Notamacropus eugenii: one gene and its partners. The protein of the gene in region 1 interacts with the protein of each later gene in a pairwise test. Links are inferred from orthologs where the notes say so. Each region holds a gene or a part of one and is shown in the gene's direction. Other genes may lie near its edges.

What was found.
Region 2: the proteins of NECAB2 (region 1) and KLC4 interact in binary tests that used the Homo sapiens proteins (3 or more experiments, as listed by UniProt). The two-hybrid records come from large-scale screens. The link is inferred for Notamacropus eugenii from reciprocal best matches to the Homo sapiens genes NECAB2 and KLC4.
Region 3: the proteins of NECAB2 (region 1) and ISCU interact in binary tests that used the Homo sapiens proteins (3 or more experiments, as listed by UniProt). The two-hybrid records come from large-scale screens. The link is inferred for Notamacropus eugenii from reciprocal best matches to the Homo sapiens genes NECAB2 and ISCU.

Annotation. Positions count from the first base shown.
Region 1 is NC_092872.1:697,731,959-697,737,834, forward strand, and holds the start of NECAB2 (N-terminal EF-hand calcium-binding protein 2), read left to right. Parts: upstream 1-2,767; coding exon 2,768-2,998; intron 2,999-5,876. Other genes in the region: OSGIN1 (oxidative stress-induced growth inhibitor 1), read left to right, coding at 1-414. UniProt on the Homo sapiens protein: May act as a signaling scaffold protein that senses intracellular calcium.
Region 2 is NC_092873.1:105,963,103-105,968,978, forward strand, and holds the start of KLC4 (kinesin light chain 4), read left to right. Parts: upstream 1-1,931; 5' UTR 1,932-2,040; intron 2,041-2,869; exon of another isoform or gene 2,870-2,960; intron 2,961-3,913; exon of another isoform or gene 3,914-3,990; intron 3,991-4,430; exon of another isoform or gene 4,431-4,435; 5' UTR 4,436-4,456; coding exon 4,457-4,714; intron 4,715-5,876. Other genes in the region: MRPL2 (large ribosomal subunit protein uL2m), read right to left, coding at 1,665-1,736.
Region 3 is NC_092875.1:23,476,959-23,482,834, reverse strand, and holds the start of ISCU (iron-sulfur cluster assembly enzyme ISCU), read left to right. Parts: upstream 1-2,306; 5' UTR 2,307-2,400; coding exon 2,401-2,544; intron 2,545-4,659; coding exon 4,660-4,773; intron 4,774-5,876.

The DNA of each region.
Region 1 (5,876 bases):
GTACACCAGATGATGCGGGAGAAATCTGTCCGCTCCTCCACTCGCTACAAAGGCTACTTGAGCCTGCCAAAACATCAGCCCCTGCTCTTCCAGGAGGACCATGAGGCTGTGTTCCATGATCAGAACGGGGAACACAGGGTATTCAGGGTCTCCCTTGTGCTGGTCCTCATCGGCTCCTACCCTGACCTCTCATTCCTGGCCCATGGTGGCACTGACCTCACTGTGGACCCAGACCAACCACTCAGCCCCAAGAGGAACCCCATTGAGGTTGACCCCTTCACCTACCAGAGCACCCGGCAGAGGCGCCTCTATGCCATGGGGCCCCTGGTGGGAGACAACTTTGTGAGATTTGTGCAGGGAGGGGCATTGGCTGTAGCTAGCTCCCTGCTAAAAGAAAATAGGAAGCCCCCCTAGGACTACCCCTGCCCACCCTCCATGCCCCCAACCTCACAGCCCCAGCTCAGACAAGGAAGGAGACCTGCTCAGTCCTGCCTGGTATAGTGACTGGGACTCAGACATGAGCCTGGACCCCAACATGGGCCTCCCCTAAAGAGATGTCTCCCTGTAGGGAGACTGTGTATGTATATAAACGGGGGAAATGGGAAGGGCGGTGATTCTAAAGACCAGTTCCTTGTTAATAGACCAAAATGTCAAGGCTGCCCAAAGGTCTGACCCATGCCCTGGGAAAAGTACAGTTTGTGGGTCTGGCTGAACCAGGGTCTGAGAAGTTTATTTAGTGCTGACCAGCTCAAAATTTCCTGAACCCAAACTGGAGATTTCCAGGCTTCTGGAACTTCAGGCTCCCAAGGCCCCAAAACCTGGGCCAATGAGCAACACTGATGGTAGAACTCAGCCCTAGGAAGTTAGGGGCCTCAGCTCTTCCCCAGAATTACATCTTGAATAAACCAAAAGGCTGCCAAAATATGTTCTTGAAGAGTTTGTCTTTGTGATGTTCCAGCTTGTCCTTGTGTGGCGATCCAACCACCTCAAGTTGAGGCTGTGTTGTCCAAATCTCTGACCATGTCTGAGTAAAAGGCTGGAGTCCTAAGGATGGAGCCTGTGAATGGGCAAGTGGGAAACTGACAAGATGTGGGGGGAGGGAGAGAAGGGGTAGGCTCATAACATTCCGTGACTCTTCCCTGTCCCTCCCCCTCTCCCCTATCATTTGCCAGATTATGTCAGTTTACCTCCAGAACATCTTGGACCCTCTATTCACTCAGCTTCAACCCCAGCTCAAGACCTTACCACCTGCAACATCCTTCTGTTTGGCCCTCTTGCTTCTAGTCTCTCCCTTCTTGGTGGGGCCATCTCTAGTTGTCCTGATCTATATCTTGCCACTGGATCCAGATGGCTCTAGAGGAGAACATGAGGCTAGTGACCTTGCACAGCCCTGCCTCATTTAAATCCACTTCAGTTACATGTCATGGCTTTATCTTCCTAATGTCACGATCCTCTTCGAAAACAAGGGAAAACAACCTCTCCCCTTTCCAATCCCTCGTCCCCGAAGCTATCCCATGGATGACGATATTCCTAAAACACAAATCTGACCCTGTCATCTGCCTCCTCAAAAATCCTCAGTGGCTCCCAACCTAGAATTTGAGACCCATGACAACATGGCTCTCAACCATTTCCAGTCTGTCTTCCATTTTACTCTCACAATCCTAGGCCCAATCAAACTAGCTGTTCCCCACATACAACCCTCTCCTACCTCCATCCCTTTCCCCAAGTGCTGTCTCAAGTCTAGAATACTGTCCTCCTTCACCAGTGCCCCTTTCAGGTGTCGCCTGCTACATGAAATCATATCTGTTTCCCCCTTATTAGCATTCTCACTCTTGAAATTAGTTTGTATGCATCTTGTATTAACCTTTATTTATCCATGCTGTATTTCCTCAGAATATAAGCTCCTTGAGGACAGACTTTTTTTTTTCTTTTCGTAAAAAGCAGATGTTTGTTGACTTAAATTTTATTGAATGAGAGAGAGAGAGAGGGAATCAAAGTCTGGGGGAACTGGATGTGACGGGATGTTAGAGGCAATGCTCAGGTCCCTGGGAAGGGTGTGAGGGAAGGATGCTCCAGGAGCCCCAAGAGTCCTGTGAAAGAGAGTTCTGTGGCTTTTGCCGGCAGAGGGAGTGCCTGACTTAGGGAAACTCTTCTTTACTCGCCTGTCCCTGCAAGCCGAAGGACCAGAGACAGCGAAAGATGCTGGGAAGAATCGATGTGCTGGAGGCCTCAGGGGCTCTCCTAGGCTGGACTCCATCCCTTCCTAGATGCTGAGTCCCAGAGGCCCTGGCCAGCGCAGCCCACCCTTCCTCTCTCAGTTCAGGCTCAGCCCGGACCGGCGACTTCACGGATTCCAGATGCCCTAATACGTCCCCCAGTTATCCCCTCTGGAAGCAGCCCCTATCCCTACCGCACCCTCATCATCCCCAGAAATAAGAGGAAGGGAGGGAGGACGTTAGGGGTCCTGGGGAGTTGGGGTCCCAAGATGGACGGGGATGGAGGCTCAGGCCCGGCTCCAGCGCCCCCCTGCCGGGCGATGTGGTCCTGTCCGCCCCCCAGCCTGGGTCCCGCGTCCCGAGTCCCGCATCCCACGCGGTGTCCGGGGGGGCGGGGTCTGCAGCGCCGGCGCCGCCCGGAGCGGGCTGGGAGAGGTGGCCACGCGTGGGCGAGCGGGCGCTGGAGCCGGGGGCGGGGGTCGGGCCGGCGGTGGTGGCGGCGGCTCCGGCGGGAGGGAGGCGGGAGGCGGGAGGCGGGCGCTGCGCGAGCGATGTGTGAGCGGGCGGCGCGCCTCTGCAGGGCCGGCGCGCACAGACTGCTCCGGGAGCCGCCGCCGCAGGGCCGGGCGCTGGGGGGGCTGCTCCGCTGGGTGGGAGCCAGGATGGGCGAACCCCGGGAGCCGCTGGCCGACGGGCCGGGGGCCGGGACTGGCCACGGGCTCTGTCCCACCCCGCCGACGGCCCCGTCCCCGCCCCGGAGGGGCACCTCGGTCATCCTGGACGTGAGTAGCACCGGACCCTGTCCGGAGCCCCTCCCCGGCCCGGACTTCTGCCCCCTCCTCCTCGCACCCCCTCCCCAAAGCTTTCTTCCTCTCCTCCACCTCTCCCCATCCCTACACTGTCTCCCCTACGGTCTCAGCATCTCTGATCTCCGCACGATCTTAGTTCCCCCTTCTCAGCCATCCCTAGCCCCCTGCTTCCCGGTCTCCCATCCTTAGGGATCCCCATGAAAGCTTCTCCTTCTCCCAGGGACTCTCTCCCCTCCCTTTTCTCCGTAAATCAGATCCTGCTCCCTTTCGCATCCCGAGGGATCCTCATTTCCCACCCCATCCCATTTTCCTGCCTCTCCACCCCCATCCCACCACCACCCTCTCCTCCTCTCCCAAGACAGAGCCCCGAGCGTTTCCCCAGTCCTAGACTTCTCTGAATCTGCAGCCCTTCCCTGCACCCAGACATCCTCACTGGGACAGTCCCTTCCCTAAATCCTGCCGCTTTCCTCAATACTCTCCCTAGCCCAGTCCCTCTCCAGAGTTCCTCCTCCTAGTAGGACTCTCTGACCCCCCACCCCCAGTCTCCCTTCTTCTCCTAGGACCTGGTTCCGCACCTTGAACACCTCCCCTCTACAGCCCCAGCTTTGGGGATCTGTTTAGATGGGGTCGCGTTTAAGGGGGTGATTGGGGAATGCTGAGTCCAGGTGGTTTGGTTCATTCAGTGTAGACTTGATGGTTACGGGGCGGGGTCGAGGGGGTAGATTTCTGGGGTCCCCTTTCCTTCCCAACTAAATGGGGCTCAGACTCACGCTCTTTCTTCCCAGCAGTGGTGGATGTATGTGTACAGAAAGTGTGCATCTGTTTGGGGAGGAGGAAGGGATGAGATGTTTCTATGAGAAAGATCGAACTCAGAACTTCCTCACCTTTTAAGGGTCACTTCCGAATTTCCTTTCAGAGTCATGGAGGAGAAGTTCTGAGTATCCCCTAGTTGACCGGACCCTGCAAGACCCTGCATTTATAAAAAGAGTTTGGATTGGATGACTTATGGGATTCTAGTCTCTAAGATTCTACTTGAATCAGACTACGCTTCTGTTTCCTTACATATTAGAAAGGGGACGGGCTCTTATCCTTTATCTCTTACCCTAACCCCCTCCTCAGAAATCAGATATCGACGGATAGCAAATGATTTTCAATCTGGTAACAAGAGACTACTCAAGGAATGAGGAATCTAAGGGCAAAAACCATCCAGGCAGAAAATCATGGGAGGAAAATACACAGATCCCACTATGTTGCTCTTAGACAATTTGTCACTTGAAGATCTAGGTGGTGGTGGTGGTGGTAGTAGTAGTAATAACTCACATTTCTTTAACATTTAGAGAGTGTTTTCCCACAACTCTGTCAGTTAGAGCAAGTATTAATATCTCTGATGAGGAAACTGAGGTTCTCAGCAGGGAAATTATTTGCCAATATCACACAAGTATTAGAGCTGGGATTAGAATGCAGGGTCTTTCTATTGTATCATTCCGCCAGCCCTTCCCCCCACCCTTTGAACCCTGGTTCATCATTGTGTGGCCTTTGTTTCTCTTCTAGACTCTCCCAGGTCCTATGGGAGGACCCCACTGGCAGCTCACCCAGTCACAGAGATAGTAGGTCCTATGTATCTGAGTCTCCAGTCTTTTGCCTATTCTCAAAAGACTGCTTGGTGTATGCCAGCACCTTCACTGCTTCTAAATATCTGACATCGAAATCAAAGTGATCCCCAATGCACAGAAATTTGGGACCCTAGTTATTCTACCCTCAGCCCCACTTATCACCAAGTGCCAGAAGAGGAATAATTAGAATTGGGTCATTCTGATGTTTAGTACTTGGAACCAGAGAAACTATTTGCTCAACTGGGTCAGGGAAGGCTTTATTCAACCCAGGTTTTAGAGAGGGAGAAAAAGAAAAAAATAGCTCTGACCCTCCTTCTAACAGCACATAGTAGGGGCTTAATAAAGGATAGTGGACTGACTCACTGACTCTTACCCCCAAAACAATCTTCTCAGGATGCCCCACTACTAAGGGCAGCTTAATTGCTGCTAGGTGATAGAGCACCAGATCTGCAGTCAGGAAGACGAGTTCAAATCCTAACCCAGGTGCTTATTATCTATGTCACTTCTGCTCTATCTGCCTCAGTTTCTTCCTCTGCAAAATGGGGATGATAATAATACTAGCACCTACCTCATGGGATGGTTGTGAGGATCAGGTGAAACAATGTCTGAAAAATGCTTTGCAAACCTTAAAACACTTTGTGTAAACTAGAGACCCCCTCCCCCAACTTGCTGGCTTACATCTTGTTGAAATGGCCTCCCCAAAGTCTGACCTGGTCCCTGGGAGAACTGGGGGCTCCTGAAATTTCTGCCTCATGTCCTCTGGTACCCAGAGGAGAATCCATCCTTTGGACACTTGAATGTGAGGGTGTGTGTGGCTGTGTGTGCTTATATAACTCTATAAATTCCTTCTAGCTCAAAATTCTATGATCCGTTTGTGTGTATGTGTGTGTGTGTGTGTGTGTGTGTGTGTGTGTGTGTGTGTGTGTGTCTCCAAGCGTGGAACACAGGCCGTACAGATAAGGCAGAGCACAGGGATGCCCTCATGCATAGGCACAATAGAAAATCCTTTCTGTAGTTTGAGTCAAAGGGGATACCACAACTAAAATAATTCCCCTACCTACCTTCCACAGGTGGGTGTCTGAAAATCCACCTTTGATACTTATTCCTTGGGATTTCTTCCAGGATTCTCTTTTTAATTAAAATAGAGAAAATTGGTTTGAGGAAGAATAGGAGAGGAGCTGAGAAGATTGACCACTTCACAGTTTTGTCTGGGGCTGACCTTATTTATATAAGGGGAT
Region 2 (5,876 bases), on another chromosome or scaffold:
CCTCAGACACTCCATATTTACTAGCTGTGTGAAGCTAGGCAAGTCACTTAACCCTGATTACACACTTCCCCCACAAAAAAAGGAAAAAAAAAATTATCTACCGAGCATTCTCTCCCCTTTGCTTCCTACCAGAACCATCGCTTCCTTCTAGACTTGACTCATGACTTACTCTCCTCCCAGAAATCTCGAGAACCTTCCCTATTCGAATCCACCCTGACCAGATCATTCCTATGCTCCATTATCCCACCCAGCAATAAAATGAGTACTTTGTTCTTCTGAATTAGTTACTGCTTTTGATAATGACTTTTATCCACACTGTATACAGTGTTTGTTGCCGTTGTTCAGTGGTTTCATGTCTGACTCTTTGTGACCCCATTTGAAGTTTTCTTGGGAAAGATACTGTAGTGGTTTGCCATTTCCTTCTCCAGTTCATTTTTTTACAGATGAGGAACTGAGGCAAACAGGGTTAAGTGACTTTGGGTCACAGGCACAATAAGTGTCTGAGGCCAGATTTGAATTCACAAAGATAAGTCTTCCTGACTCCAAGTCTGCACTCTATCCACTGCACCACCTAGCTGCCCCATCTCCCAAGTTGTAAAAGCTTCACATTGCAGGTCAGTGACTGCAATGGAATGTGTGTTTGCTGTCTAAGGACTGGTCTAGTTAGCTCAGAAAAAAAGCCAGCTATCTTGTGATAAGGTTGTGGGCCACAGCAAATTATTATCACATACTGAGGTGTGCAGAGGGGACATTTTGTTTCAGTTGAGGATGTACACATCCTATGATATGACATCACAGATCTTTAAGTATATTTTATAGATGTACCTATAACCTCCCCCATCAGATCCAGATGCATCATAGATGAAAAGCTAACTGGGACTTTGCTTATTTAGTCCAATTTCCTTCATTGTACAGGTGAAAAAGTGCGCTTGGATTTAAACCCAGGCACTCTGATTCTTTGTACTAAATCATCCTGCCACTGTTAAATCATACCAGGATGTAACACACACCCAGGTCCGCAACTCAGGATACACGACTGGATACTGTAGCAGAAACTAGATACTTATACTAAAGATGACGATGATGATAATCTTTTCTATTTGCAAATAACTTTCTAGTTAAGCCGAGAATAGCAGTAAATCATTGTTTGGGATCTAGGTTTTCAACACGTCACTTTATAAAACTGGCAAAGCACTTTCATGTATTATTATCTTCATGTTACAAATGAGAAAACCGAGTCTGGAAAGAGGGTAAGTGACATGCTCAGTCTCCCACAGCTAGTAAATGTCTCCGGTAAGATTAGCACTCAGGCCCTCCCAACTCTAACCGATCTGCCTCGGTGCCTCAGTGCCCCGGTGCCCTCTACAAAAGGCGGCAGTTCCTCCTGGCTCTGACACCCTGGGCTAACAGCTCCGACTCTCAAAATAGGCCTGCGATTATTAGCCTCATTCTGGAGATACGGAGAAATGAGGGAGCTGGCCAAGGTCACCAGGGTGGTTGGGGCCGGGGCCGGGGGACAGAGACCGAACCCAGGGCTCCTGACTCCCAGCCCCGGGACGGCCTCTGGAATGCGCCCAGCGGGCCTCACGCCCCTCGCGCCGCCCCCTGCTCCCGCAGGCCCGCGCCGCGGGGCCCAAGCTCGGAAACCCCCGCAGGCCGGTTACCTGGGCGGCAGCGTGCGGGCCGGCGGCCAGGCGGAGCGAGCCCAAGGCTCGGCACAGCGCCCGCAGCGCCATCGCGGGGATCAGCTCTCCACGCCGTCTGCCCGCTTCACCCCGGCGCCTTCTGATGACGCAACGCCCCGGGTCCGAGGACGCCGGGAGGGCTGGAGGGGTGGGTCCAGGTACGCCGAAGTCGGCCCCCTGGGGCGTCGCTGCCCACAACCAGTCCCGGAGAGGTTTCTTACCCGCGTGACCCGAGGTAGACTCCGCCCCCAGGAGCCGTCAAAACAATTGCCTTGAGCGACGGCCATGTTGGATTTAAGGGGGCAGTACCTGCGGGGGAATCGGGCGGACCGCTGGACAGACGGACATACCAAGGGTGAGTCTCTGGCAGAATTCCCTCTTCTCCCTTCCTCTCCCCCCAGTCAGAGAGGCTGGGGACCCAGATCCCACCCTGGCACCCGCAGACTGAGAGAGACACCTCCGGAACAGACAAACGGACACACCCTCCCCTCCTTCTCTCTCGAGGACGGACACCTAAGCACACTCACTTCCTTCTTGGACAGACCGACGGACACATCCACATCCTCACTCCCTCCTGAGATAGACGGACGCCTCACCCCTTCATGGTCAGACACACTTCCACCTCCTCTTTGGACAGACAGGCAGACACACGTACACCTTCTCACCCCCTCCTTGGACAGACCGTCACACACACCCCCCCCCCCCTCACTTCTTCCTTGGGCAGACACCCTCACTGTTTCTTAGGACACACAGACACATACTCTTACTTCTCCTTGGATTGTATAGGTACACATATGGACGTAAACATCCATCCATCCTTAGTTCCTCTTTGATAGATACATACGTGCCCTCATTTCCTTCTAGGACAGACAGACAGATGCATACCTTCGTCCCCAGCTAGGACAAGTAGATACATACACATCCCCACTCCCTTCTAGGGCAGACATACATAAAAACATCTTCATTCCTTCCTAGGATGAAGAGGCAGACCGACATACACATATAATCATTCCCTAGTAGGACAGTTTCTCTCCTAATCCTTCTCTCTCCCAGACTTTTACCCACTCTCATGGGGCAGGCACTCATCTCCAGACAGATACCCTTCCCTCCCGCCAAGACAAACAAACTTGGTCCTCTCTTCCTCTTGAACAGATAGATACATACTTATTACTTTGTTTCCTCAGGTCCACTACTGACTCCTTGGGCAAGAGACAAATAGATTCCCCTATCTCTACCCTGAGACACACACACACATTCTGTCAGGCTAGAGAGAAGGTAACATATGTACCTATTTTATATTACATTAGTATATGTCACATATGATATTATTATAGCTTATATAAGTACTATAACTATTATAGCTCCCGGGATTGACAAACCCACCCACTATACCTAGATAGGTAGGGGGTTATGTGTCTTCTCTTCTCTCCCCAGCCCATTCAGGAAGCCATAGCTACTAGTGAACCCCGAAGATTCAGACCATAATGCTCTTACTCTTAGGCAGACATTCTGCTTTCCTAGTTTGTCTTAGGAAAATAAGACGAGTTTGCAAGTTAGTAAATGTTGCTCTCCAGTACTGGGGAGTTACCCCTTACTTTAGTTGCCTGGGGGTAGAGGTGGGAAGAACAAAGCAGAATGAGAGTATCCTCTTCGGTTTCCACCTGAACAGACCCTTGTACTCACACCTCCCTCTAGGCACAAGGATCCTTCTTGACTAATAAACCGGGGCAAACAGAACTTTGCTCTTTCTTAGGTTTCCAAGCAAGCTTTCTCCTTATTCATGCTTATTTCCCTTTAGGGGATCTGAGCCCAGGGCTGACGTAGTGTTTCTTGGGGGAAATAGGAGAGAAGGATCTTTTGGAGGGCTTGGGGCCTGGGCACGAAGCAAAGGAAACGTCTTTTATTCTAGGTGGGGCTCTGTGACAGGTGCTTAGAATAGTAGTGGGGGAGGGGGGTTGGGGTGGTACTGGACTCTTGGACTTTGTATAGGGCGTCTCCCAGTCTGCTGAGCTGAGCGAGGTTCTTTCTGGCTCCTAGCTTTCTGGCTCTTGGCTCCTGCCTCAGCCCTGCAGTCCAAGGCTTTGCCCTTGGTTGGGGTAATAGGACTTGGGGCAATGACTGGTTCATGAGGAGGAAGAAGAGAGTTGAAAATAAGAATTGGAGGAGGAGAAGTAGGGATAACTAGGGCTGAGTGAAGTTGGGCTCAAGGCGCCTTGAGTAGCTAAGAGAAATAAAGGATTAAACCTGCATGGAGACAACCGTGTCCAACCCTTGGAGCTGAGGCCTCGTCAGTCTCTTTTATACTGTGAGAACTGTTACTTCTCTTTCTCCTTCTTTAGAGCTTAGTTATCATCTGCCTTTCTTTCTTCTTCTGTGTTATTCCTTTCACTGACCTCCTTTACCATCTCTCTCTCTCCCAATGTCAAGTCCTGGTTTTTCCTCCGAAACCCATTATCCCTCCCCTTTATACACCAGCCTCTTCCTTTCCACTTTCTATAATGTTTCTATGTTTCTCCTGTCCAACACTTTCCTCACCTCTGAGGTCCATTGCTCCTCCTACCCTGTCTTTTCTGCTGAACTTTACTCATCTCCAGTTTTATTCTCCACCCACTGAGTTTTGCTTTCTGTAGTATACTCAGTTCTTTCTATGTTCTTACTCTCATAGTGATATGTTTTTCCACAAACCAAAATTGTTACAGCTCTCTCTCCTCCTCTGTCTCTCTCTGTCTTATGATTTCTCCCCAGCTCAGGTTGGAATCCCCTGACCCAGGATGTCGGGGCTGGTGCTGGGACAGCGGGAAGAACCATCAGTGTCCCGGTTGAGCCAGGAGGAGATCCTGGGGAGCACTCGTCTGGTGAGCCAGGGCTTGGAAGCACTGAGAAGCGAACACCAGGCAGTATTACAGAGCCTGGCTCATGCTATTCAGTGCCTGCAGCATGAAGGCCATGAAGCTGGACTGGTACATGAGAAGGCCCGGCAGCTTCGCCGATCCATGGAAAACATTGAGCTGGGTCTGGGGGAGGCACAGGTGAGATTGCGGAGATGGAGAAATAGAGGGCTGGAATGGAGGATAGGATAAGACTAAGATTTCAAGGGAAGGATGAGTGGGTTTGTGAGGAAAATTTGGGACTAAGAGCTGGAAGAAAGGGACAATTTAATGGAAAAAAAATAAGGGAGGTATGTGTTATGGAGAGAGGAAGGTCAGTAAAAAGGGTCCTGTCAATTTTATCATTGTAACATCTCTTGTATATGCCCCTTGCTCCCCTCTGACACTGTGACCACTTTGGTGCAGACCTTCAGTACCTTACATCTGGATGATTGCAATAGCCTTCTATGTGGTTTCTCTACCACAAATTTCTATCCACTCAAAATCTGTCTTCTACTCAGTTGTGATTCTCCTAAAGCATAGGTCTGACCTTGTCATCCTTCTGTTTAATAAACTCAAAGTAGTTCCCTTTTACCTCCAAGATAAATGATAAAATCCTCTGTTGGCTTTTAAAGCCTTTCATAATTTGGTCTCTTCCTACGTTTACAATCTAAATACACTATATTGTTTTCTACTTCACAGTCCTGTGACACTGGCTTGCCAGCTGTTCTTCAAGCATGACGTGCCATGTTCCCACTCACAGGTTCTCTCCCTTGGCCAGAATTCTGTTCTTTCTCATCTCTGTCTTCTGGCTTCTCAACCTTCAAGTCTCATGGGAAACCTTTCTCAGCTCTAATGCAGCAGTACCTTTCTCTGTTGAGTTATCTTGTATATCATTTGTTTATACAAAGTCGTTTGCATATTGTCTTCTAATTAGACTGTGAGTCCTGTGAGGTCAGAGACTGCCTTTTTGCCATTCTTTATATCTCCAACCACTTGGCCCAGTGCCTGCTACACAGTATATATTTAATAAGTGCTTATTCACTTGACTTAAGTAAAAGAGGTAAAGGACAGAGCAGAGGAAAGAATGTTTGAGAGGAAAGAACAGGGTGCAGCTAGAGGGCGTACTGGATAGAGGGCCAGGTTTGGAGTCAGAAAGACTCATCTCCCTGAGTTTAGATCTGGCCTCAGACACTTACTAGCTGTGTGGCCCTGGGCAAGTTACTTAACCCTGTTTGCCTCAGTTTCCTCCTCTGTGAAATGAGCAGGAGAAGGAAATGCTAAGAAAACCCCAAATGGGGCCATAAAGAACTGGACAAGAATG
Region 3 (5,876 bases), on another chromosome or scaffold:
CCGACTCTGCCCCCTCGCTGAAGCCCCGCCCTCCCTTCCTCCTCCCCCCCCCCCTCCTCCTCCTCCTCTCCGCCCCGCGCTCCCTCCCCTTTCCCTCGGCCTCGCTCCGCCCCAGATAGGCCCCGCCCCCTCCATCTCAGCACCGCCCCTCCCTCTCTCCGGAGACCTACCGTCCTGGGTCCTGCCCCCTCCATCTCCCCACCCCCTCTCCTTCAGCCCCACCCTCCCGGCCTGGGCCCCGCCCCCTCGGTCTCGCCCCCTCGGTCTGAGCTCCGCCCCCCAGATCGTCGGCCGCGGCCCCGCCTCCTCAGTGGTTCAGCCTTCCGACACAACATGGCAGCGGCAGCGGCGAAGGCCGGCCTGGCAGGGTTGAGGCGGGCGGCCTCGGTGATGTGCCTGGGCACTCGGCGGCCTCCCCTCCGGGAGCTCTCGGCTCCGGCCCGGCTGTACCACAAGAAGGTAGGGCCGCGGAGCGCCTGGGCCGGGGAGGCGGGGACGTTGGAGACCCTGGGTGACGCCGTTAGAAAGAAGCGGCCACTGCGCCTGCGCGTGCGCCCCTCCCCCTGCGTGCGCGTGCGCGTCGTCCGCGTGTCCGCCGAGCAGGCCGAGTCCTAGGAGGGGCCATCTCCTAGGACGCCGCCGGGTCAAGTAGAGGAAACGGGCATTTAATAAGCTCCTATGTATGCCAGGCCCTGGGCGAGGGGCAGCTTTGGGCCTGATGTCGGGTAAACTGGGGTGGGGACCGAGGCCGGGGGGAACTCCCGGGTGAGGAAGCCCCTCCGCCAGTGCCCTCTTCCGTGAAAGCCCGGAGGTCGGCGGGAAGCCCGCCCGAGGTCAGCAGCCTTCCCCAAGACCCGCCCCTGAGAACGGGGAAGAAAAAGCGGGCCCCCTGCTGTGGCAGGGGAGGCCGGGGTCCTTCCCCCCACCTTTCTGACGGTGGAGGAAACTGAGGTTCAGAGAAGCCCCCTCTTGGAGCTGGCAGAAACGTGGGCGCCTAGTTTATGCTCAGAGCCACGGAGAGCCCCGAAGAGCTTTAAAAAAATAGGGGTGATATTATTGTGCACCGTGTGACAAATTAAAACGCCTAAGTTTTTAAAGTATTCGTTTAATTATAATCTCATGTCATCCTAACATACTTTTTACAAAAGAAAATAACTTTCCCAAAACAAAAGAAATTAGGCAGAAAAGTGGCCTTGTTTTACACGTACTTGCCCATCTCTTTAATGTCCAGTTGAGTCCAAGTCTGTTGCAAAGTGTTAAAATATATGAAGAAAACCTGACCTAAGGGGCGTAAGTGGTTGTATTTTAGAGCACCTTGGTGCTGTTACAGAACCCGTAAGAAGGAATTGTAAGACCTTTAGGGAGACCTGCTGACCTCCATCAGCCCCCACATGATACCCTGGAGGAAACAGAGACCTGGAGAGCTAAAGTCACTTGATGAGTGGGCCCCACTCCCACTCCCACTCCCAGTAAACGTCGGGAGTGGAATTTGAACTTGGGGTCTTTCCGACCCCGAATCCACCATTACACCCGCTGCCTGCCCTTGGGATAGCTGATATCCACACTAGAGGGCACCTCAGAGAACATCTACCCATCCCCTCATTTTACAAAAGAGGAAACGGGGCGGAGAGGACACAAGGTCTTCCATGAAGTAAATGTCAGAGCTGGACTTAACCTCTTCCCTCCAGTTAAATCAGAATGCTTTACTGTGTCATTTGAGGGTCTAGAGTTATACACATTAAACAGAAAATACTTCAAATACCTTGTGGTTTCATCACAGCACAAGTTCTCCTTTTCCCAGTGCCAGATGACAGTCCTTTCATGCTTTAATAAACAGTCTTTGACAGGTAAAGGTCGTGGTAACTTTTGTCCAAGCTAGTGGTGAGTTTCTGTGCCCAGAACATGGTGCACAGTTGGCTCTTAATGTTGACTTGCACTTAGTTAGGTTGACCTTTAGACAATAGGCTCCTTCTCCAAGCCTTTCCACTATGCAGGACCTGCTGGCATAACCAACAAGGGCCCAGGGTCACCCTGGGCCATGAAAAGGAGCTGCCTAAAGGAATTATTACAGTTCTGCTTTATAAAGTACTTTGCTATGAGGTCAGCAGTACCAGGATTATTATCCCCATTTTACAGATGAGAAACCTGGTATCTAGAAACAGGAATTGGCTTGGGGTGGAAGTCGATGGAGGCCCAAGACCCAGCAGTCACAGTCTCCAGGCTCAGAGGCAGGATTTGACCCAGGCTTCTCCATTCTGAATCCAGGGCTCCTTTCCACTGTATCAGCAGGAAGGATTCTGAGCAGATCATCCCTAAGTACCCTCCTGGTCTAGATGAGCCAGCACTGCCTCCCAACAGGCCAGTTTGGCCTTAAAGCAGAAAGCTCTGCTGCAGCTGGTGATGAGTCCTGCTGAATCAATCTGTAGCCTCCAGGGAAGTCAGACTGTCAGGAAGCCGGGACTCAGATTGGGAAGGGGACTTGCTGTCAGCTTGGATCTCCTCACTTCCCACTTCGTCCTTCCATTTCAGGCCCACCAGTCTCTGGTATGTTGGTGCTGGGGGGCTGGGGAAACCTCCAGGTGAGAAGCCAGGAAAACAGGGACAGGTCACAACCCCCCCCCCCCAGTACTCACTGATCAGCCCCTGGGCAGGCAGGGCAAGCCAATCACTTCCTCAGTGAAATCACATCCTCCTTTACAGGAGATTGTCAGGAAGGCCCAGCAACTTTTGCATGGAGGGTGCTGTTCCTCTTTGGGCCCTGCCTTAAGGTCATTTTGTTTTTTTCTTAAGAAAACAAACGGTGTGCCTGTGAAACCATAGTGTCAGATATTAGGGTGGGCTCAGATGAGCCCTAAGGCCCCTTCTAGCTCTCAGGTTCCCGTGAGTGATACGGAGCATTGATACAGCATGTTCAAGCTGGCGAAGCTTTTGACTGCTCTCATCTGCTTTGACCCTCACAAGAACATCTGATCCACTGATGTCCAGTCCCCAGATGTGTTGGAGATATTGTGACCGAGTCCACTCCTCAGCCACATGATATATGTCATGACCTATTCCAAACAAGGCCTGGAAGTCTGCTTAGCAGGCTCGTTGGAGTCTTTGCTGGCAGATGGTAAAGCAACCTCAAGCCTGCCTCAGAAGAAGCAGGGCATCTGTGACTGGGTTTTCCTGTTTTTCCTGAATCTGGGGATTCATTCCCCTACCCCTAAGATGGTTTTTGTTGCCCTGGAGCTGGCTCAGCAGCCAGAGTCTGCGATAAGGAAGTAAGTCCCTCTTGCTCTGGGCTGTGACACAGAAAATGGTAGGGAGTCTGACATTGTAAGTAACCTGTGCAGGGTAGGCCAGAGATATTAAAGCAAATTCCACCTTTAGTCTTACAATGCACCTCCTTGCTGGGGTCTTCTCTTTGGAAAGAACCACCAGGACCAGACAGCTCCGTAACAAAGCTCTGTGTTCTCAAGGTAGCGGGTTTGCCCTCGGGGAGCAGCCAGAAGTTGTTCTGAGGTGTCTTGGGGACATGAAGATTCACCTGGCCAGAAGATGGGGTTGTGACAGACAACTGAGGAGGAAATGATTTTTTCCCCATGTGCCTCCTGACCTGGAGGTTCCCAGAGCATCCTGGCCAGGCCCACCTGCCAGGCCCCGCTGTGCCGCAGTTACCTGGGGGCCAGGCTTCAGCAGACAGCAGGCACAGGGCCCAGCTAGGGGGCTGTGTACTTGTTTAGGGGGTTAGGATTCTGTGGTTGCACCTCGTGGGCCTCTCTTGGGACCCGTGCAGGTAAGGGTGGGGGGACCCTTCTGGGAGTCCCTGCATGTGCCCTCACCTCCCAGGTGCATTGGGGAAGACTTTGGCCAACTTCTGCTTCTGATCAGAATCACCTGAGATGATAATTGCTCTTTGTACGTCAGGGGACCCATGATGTCATCAGCACCTCCTGATCCCTGTGATTCGCATGCCTTTATTTCCTTCATTCTTCACCGGGGGGATCTGTTCAGCGCGCTCACCAGCTTCTGTGGCTTCTAGTGCCAGACATTCTGTACCATTGCCCCAAGCCCTGCATACAGGGCACCCATGAGAGATGGACAGCCCTAGGGGTAGGCCTTGGGCCAGGGTGTCAGAGGACCCACAGCACCCCATAGAAATACAATCAGATAATATCCCACTTTACAATGAAGGCATTTTGTGGCCACGGACCATTCCTGTTTGAGTTAGACTCCACTGCTTTAGGCAGATCTCTAAGAGTGGCAAATAAGGTGCCAACCCACATTGGTAGAGGGAGTTCCCTAGACCAGTGAAGTTGAATTTCCAATCCCCATCCCTCTGGTGACCAGCGAATCAGATAAAAGTGGTGGTGCTGCCTTTGGGTTGTGGGGGCATCAGAAGATACTGAGAATCACATGGGTCTTTGTGCCCCAAGTAAGGCAGTAGCCAGCGGAGGGACTGAAGCCCATCAGTCTTGATGAAACCAGAGACTAAAAAGTGGCTGCTCAGTTTGAGGGGGGGAGGTAATCTCTCATGGAGAGTTGGCTTCATGTTATGGTCCCAAGTTAACAAGCAGCCGCATTTCACAGAGGCCTTGGATCCCTCTCCTCCCGTATGGGAAGGAAATTCTTCGTTAGAGCTAGAAAATTTATTATTTTACAATTTTCTCATTTCAGGTGGTTGACCATTATGAGAATCCCAGAAATGTAGGATCCCTTGACAAGAAATCCAAAAACGTTGGCACTGGATTGGTGGGGGCTCCAGCTTGTGGAGATGTTATGAAATTACAGGTACGAGTGGGTTTCGTCTTTCTGAAAAGTCACAGTGACTTGACACCATTCCTCCTCTCTTTTTTTTTCTTTTAATAAGTTTATTATACTGGTAAACCAGAGAAATGCTATAGTTTCAGTGTATCTGGATTTTAGCAAAGCATTTACCATGCTTTATTTTTTGGTCGAGAGAGATAACACGTATTTGGACAAGGTAGTCCAGTTAGGAAGATTCAGAAACATGTGAAAGATGGGACTTTGCTAGTCATAATTGCCTAATTAGTCAGTGGCTGTTTATAGAGAAGGGTCTTAAGTTTAATGCTCCAGGATTCTCTCCTTGATCCTGTTATGTTCAACATTTTTCTCAGTGCCTTAGTTGAAATTTTAGATGGTATGTTTATCAGATTTTTTTCTTAAATATTCCTTCTCTCTCTTATCAACTAGAATTCTGTTTCCACTTAATTCATGAACTCATAAGTTCATTAGCAGAGTGTAAGGTATGACCCGAATTGGGGGAGGGTAGTGTTGAACAAGATGACCCCTAAAGCTAGGATCCTATGAACCTAATTTTAATTATTAGATACATTAACACAGTTGGTATTTTTGTTGGAATAAATCCTAATTTAGCCACCTTGGGGGAGGATGCACTCTTCAGAGTTGTGACATCCCTTTGTGGCTGGTGACCTCAGCCTGGGCTCTTATTGACCTTAGAGAACCCTGTCTCACTTGGTTGTTTTTGAGTTTGGCTTGGTCAACAATTGCCTCATCGTGGTGGGGAGGGAGGCGGCTTATCTGCCTGCCAGAGGTTTTCAGTCTTATCTTGGAGTACAGAAATAAGTTGGCAGGACACAAGAAAAAACCATAACCCGAAATTGGAACCATAGCTAACTACTGCAGTCTCCCAGCGTTGAGGAGACTGTTCTGGTAGGGGTTAGAGAGTGGATCAGCAATGGTCTGCACAAATCCTTCTCAGGCCAGCCTGGTGTTGACCGACGCCTTCTCACACACAACTTTGGAATGAAATTGAGTTTATCATTAAGTTCCTAAAATGGGGTAGAAGGCAGATGAGCACACCCAGATGGGCCCTAGGGACCCCCAGTCACCCCAGGATACAGACCCTGAGA